2 linked regions of the Arabidopsis thaliana genome follow. The main gene of each other region encodes a partner of the protein of the gene in region 2 in a complex. Each region holds a gene or a part of one and is shown on either strand. Other genes may lie near its edges.

Region 1 (3,454 bases), 4.3 Mb from region 2:
AGCCAAAAGAACTTGACTTTCTTACTCAGATTAATGGACACTAAGTCATGGATCCAAAGCATATATTATATCTCTATTGTGTGTTAACATGTCTCTTGAGTCTCTAAACTTAGTTTTCTCCAAAGATTAAAGCAAAAGCAAAGATGGGCTTCCTCTGTCACTAGTTTTGCTAACTCATCCTTTTCGGATAGCGACACTCTTCGTTTCCCACTCTTGGTTTGGTGGTTTCTTTAGGATTCTAGATTTTTGTTTTACTTATCTTTCCTTGTACAAGAGACTGTTTCTATAGGATTCTTCATTTCCTGTTTTATCTATCTTCTCTGTGCAACGAGAGTGTCATGGCTACTCTGTCTCAAATCGTCGAGGAGGAACTTGAACCATCACTAAGAAGCAAGCTTTCAAGAACAAGTGAAACCAGTCTCGCTTCTGTCGCATCGTTATCCATGCCACTTGTTCGTTACTCTCTTAACACTTTTGTCTTAGAATGATTCAACTCTGTGGATTCTTTTAATTGATCTTGTGTGTTATCAGATTCAGGAGATTGTTCTATCAGCAGACATCAGATGTAGTGACTGCCAAGAGAAAGTCGCCGACATAATGGCGAGGATGATCGGTGAGTATATAGCTTACTTACTTCCGAGATGAGACACTTTTTTGTTCTTTCCTCTCACGCTTGTTTCCTCTGTTTTCTTGGAGCAGAAACATATTCAATATTGGTGAGTGTGTTGGAGAAGAAAGTGACACTAACGTGTACATATTCCGGTGACCGGAGAGTCTCTAAATCCTATGGTGAAGCTCTTCTCTGCAAAATCTCAACCATCAAGCGTTTGATATGTCCTTCAAGGAAACAATAACTCAGAGTTGCTTGATGTTTGCTTTTATTATCATTTTCTCTTTCCAATAAAATGAATCTTTTATGTCGAATGTGATTGGATATTGTTTAGATAAACAAAAAACTCTCAATAGCAATAATAATCATAGACAAAGTGAATTCTTGAAATGCAGAAATCAAAAAAGAGATTATTGAGAAGTTAAATTGCCGCCACTTTGTTGCCAGAGATTGATGATATCAGTGGCTTGGTTTAGAAGAATGATCATCTTCTTCTGAGAGATCCATGGTTTAGCTTCAAGAGTAGACTTAAGCTCTTCCCAAGCATCTTTCCTAGGCCAGAAGAAGTAAGGACTAAGTGGGATTGTGCCATGTCCAGGTACATGTTGGTCCAATCCTAATCCTATGTTCTTCTCCATCCACACAAACTTGAGTACCACTCTTGATTTCTCATCTGGCTTCACCACCTAACACAAACAACAAAGATTTGTGGGTTTTGTAACACAAGAGACAAGAAGATGAAGAAGAATATGTTGTTTTTACCTTTATTGTTTGTTGTGGAGTGTTGTCGGAAGTATCAATTCCGGTGACTGTTTCAGCGGTGAGTGTCTCTGGAGCTGCTAGAGTTATGATTTTCCGTTTTACAGAGATGGGTTTGGTTGTTTGGGTATGGAACAATGGAGGAGAAGCAGTGATGGAGAGTTTTGGATGTTGAGAGATGAAAGAAGAGCAGAGGGAAGTAGAAGAGAGTGCCATTGATGACATCATTTTTGTGTTTTCTCAGAGAACAATGGAGATTTTGTGAGAATATGGATAAGGAAGATATGGTCACATTTTTGGGTGGAGTTTCAAAGTAGTTTGACTATCAAATTTATGGGCTTTGTTGACTTGGCCCATCATTAAATGGGTCAAGAATACAGAGTTTATTATAAGCCCATGAATACAAACCTGAAGCTTTGAGAAGTAGACTTTTAAAAATACAGACTCTGTTTCAAGTATTTTCGAGGGACTAATTCAAAGATCTCAACATATAAGTATTAATCATATCATATTTAATTCGAATGACATTTGACAGCCACAAGTATTTATACAAAAATTAAAAACCTCATCTTTGTTTAGTGTTCATGATTTGATCAAAGTCAATAAATTTTTTTGTGTGAAATAAATTTTTGTATTAATCAAAACACAATTTTTAACAAAATATAATTATCGATATTGTACGCTGCAAGATGTCCTCAATTTGTTTTATTTATTTATCAAAAACAAATAATTGTTGAGAAAGTGGCCTTTACATTATATATGTCACATGATTCTTTTTACATTATGTCACATGATTCATCTTAAAAAATCGTCTTCTTTATTTTCACAGGTTTGCTGAGGCCAAAGAAGAGTCTTTCTTTGGACTTGAAGTAGCACTGGATAGATGAGATGAGAAAGCCTTTAAGGAGAAAGACACCATGATGGTCATTCATGAACATCATTCGATGAGTATATATAGTAAAAGTTTGAAATACTTCTTACATCGTAGTTATTATATAATGTGCACACGATATTTTTTATTTTCAGCATACAATAATTGGATAAAACAATCAAACTCACCCAAAATACATAAATAATTGTTGTTTCTCAAAAAAAAGTAGGAAAAATCTCATGTGAGGGTGGGTACACTGTGTAGGGTAGGGCTTGGCTTTTGAGCATAGTTAGGAAGTAGTAAGATGCGATGCGGTAGTAAGTAGGAGTTTCAAAATGTCACATTCACACAAGTCACGACCATGAAACTTGTCGTCTCTTTGATACTTGCAACTTCTCCAAAACTGTGGGTCTGTAATTCAATTATTAGAGTCTTGAACTTGAAGAGACTTTAAGATATGTGTGTAAATTTGTTCACCGTCACATTATTGGTCCATTTACATTACACACGTCCACTATAGTTAATTCTCAGGTTGTTTATCCATAGATATCTGTTGTTATTTCTGCGACACTTTTACTGGTCACAATGAATTATGTTGATGTTTAGATTCAACAAAAAAACTTACTAAATCGGGTAACTATGAAAAAATATTATGTAGCTGAGCCAAAAAGGTAAAGTCTACAGTTTAAGAAACATTAACACATTGAACAGAAATTAAGAAATAATATAATTCTATTTTTAATTTTTTTACTGAATAACTAATAGTCACAAAAAATCATATTACGGCCTTACCGGTCCATTTATGCATTACTGGTCCACAAATGTAAATTCTCACGTTTTAAATTCCATCTGTTTCAAAAAATTTGGACACTTTTGGTGGTTAATATGTTAATGATTAGATTTCAACCAAAAACATCAAAGTTATAAATCGGACAATTATTAAAATTTGTAATGTAGATGCACCAAATTGTAAATTTTTTAAAAAAACTTGATTATTTAGAGATGATGAATCGAAGGCATGCATTAATTGCGTAGTACAAAACAAATCTTGATAAATAGATAAATAAACATCTTTCTATTCGTAAGGACGACAAGAATCTCTCAGGTTCTGTAGAATTGTCAGAATCATTTCTAATGGGAGGTAAAATGGGATCAGTACCGGAGCAAAACACAGAGAAGCTTCTCTGGCAGTCAAGCGACGTCGCTGATAGCCG
Region 2 (3,602 bases):
CTATAGGAGCAGGCTCTTCAATTTCAAATGGAGGAACAACGACAACAATAGTGCTACGAGACACAACAAGAGTCTCAGCGTCGAGACCGGTTTAGATGAGGCTGCCACCGGATCCCATGACGCTGAACCATTGACCATTATTCATCCTAGTCAGGGTCCACCACTTTCAAGATCGGCTGCGGATGAAGCAGTCCTCGCCGCCCTCGCCGCCTCACAGGCTAGAGAAAGGCAGCTTTTGGCAGACATGGAGCAGATGAAAGAGCGCTTCTCCAAGCTGTTGCTGGGAGAGGACAATTCCGGTGGAGGCAAAGGAGTATCCTCTGCTCTCGCCCTTTCAAACGCAATCACAAACCTTGCAGGTTGCTTTAGGACCCTCTTTTGTTATTACACTTAGTTTATATTAACCAGCAACCAATATCTCATGTTTATCTTGTTGGTATAGCTTCCGTGTTCGGAGAGCAACGGCGCTTGGAGCCAATGCCTGCAGAAAGAAGAGCAAGATGGAGAAAAGAGATTGATTGGCTTCTCTCCGTGACCGATTACGTGGTTGAGTTTGCTCCATCTCAGCAGAAAAATAAAGATGGGACCAATATGGAGGTTGTCTATCTGCTGCTGCTGCTGCATTATATTTCATTTGGTAACATACAATGATTCCCTTATTCTGTTGGTATTGATTTAACAGATAATGACCACACGCCAACGTACTGACCTCCACATGAATATCCCCGCATTGAAGAAACTGGACGCCATGCTCATCGTAAGACCTCTCTCTCTCTCTCTCTCGTTGACCAAATATCAACCCTACTTTAATAATTTCATTTAGGATATTCAAAAGCATCCTCTTATCCCCCTTTTCTACCTAGGATTGTCTAGAAAATTTCAAGGACCAAAGCGAGTTCAGCTATATCTCAAAAGACTCCCCTGACTTAGACGGTAAGAGAAACGACGAAAAATGGTGGATTCCGACCGTCAAAGTTCCACCAGATGGTCTATCAGAAGCTTCAAGAAGGTTTTTGCAGTACCAGAAAGATTGTGTAAACCAGGTTCTAAAGGCAGCCATGGCCATAAACGCACAGGTTTTGTTCGAGATGGAGATACCTGAGAGCTACATCGACTCTCTCCCAAAGGTAAAAAAAAAAAAAGACACCAACAATTGATGTTATTGATTAGAAGAGTTGATGAAGAATAATACTCACTTGTTTAGTTTGTAATAAATAAATAAACAGAACGGGAGGGCGAGTCTCGGGGATCAGATGTACAAGAATATAACGGTGGACTTCTTTGACCCGGACCAGTTCCTGAGCAGCATGGACATGTCGTCGGAGCACAAGATCGTGGACCTCAAAAACAGAATCGAGGCATCAATCATTATATGGAAACGCAAAATGGTTTATAAAGACAACAAATCATCGGCACCCTGGGCCTCCGGAGTAAGTCTGGAGAAGCGAGAGGTCTTCGAAGAGCGAGCTGAGACCATTTTGCTCATTCTCAAGCAAAGATACCCCGGGATTTCTCAATCTTCACTCGACATCAGCAAAATCCAGTTCAACGAGGACGTGGGCCAGGCGGTGCTGGAGAGCTACTCGAGAATACTGGAAAGCTTGGCCTACACGGTACTTTCCAGAATCGATGACGTTTTAGAGGCAGATCGAGCGGGGAACAAGAGGAACACGCCATTGGAAGCAGAGGAAGAGACGCTGGTTGGGAGCATGACGCTGTCGGATTTCATGGGATGGGACTTCGATCAGGCCGCGAACGCCGAATTGGAGTCGAAGAAGGATCTACCGGATGATCCGTTGATAAAGGAGAAGCTAAGCGTCGTCACGACCAAGAAGACCTCATACCTCGAAACCCTAGGCGGTGTCAAGAGTCCAACGGCACGGCATTGATATTTGTGTGGAAAATTAGGCGCAAAAAAGAGCGAAGACAGATTTATTGATTATTTAATTATTTTTAGGATTCAAAAACTTTACAAAAGGGCTTTTGTAAATTCCTTTTTATGAAAAGGTGGGCTTTTAAGATTAGGCCCAGTTTATTGTAAAACCCATTTACCATCTGTATACTGTATACATCCCTTCTAAATAGTAGTAGTACTCACCTTATCTTCATTTTCATCGATTCGATTCCAAATCGGAAGGATGATAACGTCGTCCCTAACCTCATCTCTGCAAGCTCTCAAGCTTTCGTCTCCGTTCGCCCATGGCTCCACTCCTCTCTCATCTCTCTCTAAGCCCAATTCCTTCCCGAACCACAGAATGCCCGCTTTAGTTCCGGTCATCAGAGCCATGAAAACGATGCAGGGGCGCGTGGTGTGCGCAACCAGTGACAAGACTGTGGCGGTGGAGGTGGTGAGGCTGGCTCCCCACCCCAAGTACAAGAGGCGCGTGAGGATGAAGAAGAAGTACCAAGCTCACGACCCCGATAATCAGTTCAAGGTTGGCGACGTGGTCAGACTGGAAAAGAGCAGACCCATCAGTAAGACTAAATCATTTGTGGCGCTTCCTGTCATCGCAAGGGCCGCCAGGAAAGCCGAAGCCGGAGGAGATGAACTCCTTGGCCTTCCCTTGGAGTCTCAGCAGCCGGCGTAGAGAATGATTGCTCTTTGTTTCTTTTGGTAAAGCCGTCTTTTTTTTGCTCTGCTTCTGTTTGTTTGTTGTGTATCCCGGAACCAGTGTAATTTATGGAATGCTTTTGTGATTTCATTGCTTATGCCATGAGTGTGTTTTCAATCTGATTGTTTCCGACTACCAATTGTTTGCTCTTACTTCATCTTCACCTCCAGTTACATTTAGAATGTGAATTAATATGTTTCTGTTGCTACTGTGTGCTTGTGGTCTCAGTGATCCGACTTTTGTTTCTGCTAATTCTACGGTTCTTGCTCCTCTTGTTATGGTTCATTTGCCAATGGAATGGACCAAAAAGGTGTTGGATAATAATAGGATTGGAGAAGAGAGAGCTGGTCGTTTTTGTACAAAACTTTAATGCACTGCTGCTATACATTATCATATAATTATATATAGGTAAATAATATCTGCTGTGACTTGTCATCAGCAATCTTCGATTTGTAGACTTCTCTTAATGTTGTGTAGTGTGACTGAGACGAGGTTTGTCACGGATTCCACAGACTCCATATTCAGCTTTGCTGCAGGAGAAGGGTTGATGAGGGTTTGGAGGGCGAGTGTCAGGAGCGACCCTCCTTGGCTGTTTCTGTCGTCTTGTGTAGACGTTATTACCAGTGGCCGTGACTCTACTCCATCAGGTATGATTGAGAATCCAGAGGGGAGGATTTGGATGTTGCTTGGATCATGTCCCGCGAGCACCAGCTGTGTCGTGTTTATATCTACGGGAGCGTATACCACCACCGACTCATACGAGTTAGTGCTGCTGTCTTGCAGCACCCATATGCTCTTTTCTCTCGATTTCACTGTCTGGAAATGTATAGAAATTCAGATTATCAAGGCCTAGACAGATTTAGAGGAGGAGAAGACAAAATAAACGCACCTGGATTGCCACTGAGTTGCCTCTGTCTTGTCCCTTGGATAAGTTTGCAATAGACTGAACATGAGCTCCGTTTGACAAAGCATCCCACTGATGATATGTAT

The links. The genes of interacting proteins can lie anywhere in the genome.
Region 1: RPS17 (region 2) and PSRP3/1 share a complex: the UniProt entries of both Arabidopsis thaliana proteins name them as parts of the 30S ribosomal subunit.

The regions. Positions count from the first base shown.
Region 1 is NC_003070.9:25,756,573-25,760,026, forward strand, and holds PSRP3/1 (Ribosomal protein PSRP-3/Ycf65), read right to left. Parts: upstream 1,840-3,454; 5' UTR 1,598-1,839; coding exon 1,373-1,597; intron 1,297-1,372; coding exon 1,021-1,296; 3' UTR 855-1,020; downstream 1-854. Other genes in the region: AT1G68585 (uncharacterized protein), read left to right, coding at 339-452, 532-613, 700-854; AT1G68600 (aluminum activated malate transporter family protein), read left to right, coding at 3,375-3,454. UniProt on the Arabidopsis thaliana protein: Component of the chloroplast ribosome (chloro-ribosome), a dedicated translation machinery responsible for the synthesis of chloroplast genome-encoded proteins, including proteins of the transcription and translation machinery and components of the photosynthetic apparatus.
Region 2 is NC_003070.9:30,040,459-30,044,060, reverse strand, and holds RPS17 (ribosomal protein S17), read left to right. Parts: upstream 1-2,108; 5' UTR 2,109-2,138; coding exon 2,139-2,588; 3' UTR 2,589-2,818; downstream 2,819-3,602. Other genes in the region: ROPGEF12 (RHO guanyl-nucleotide exchange factor 12), read left to right, coding at 1-359, 443-597, 683-757, 864-1,127, 1,227-1,889; GL2 (HD-ZIP IV family of homeobox-leucine zipper protein with lipid-binding START domain-containing protein), read right to left, coding at 3,048-3,428, 3,502-3,588. UniProt on the Arabidopsis thaliana protein: One of the primary rRNA binding proteins, it binds specifically to the 5'-end of 16S ribosomal RNA. Required for optimal plastid performance in terms of photosynthesis and growth. Required for the translation of plastid mRNAs.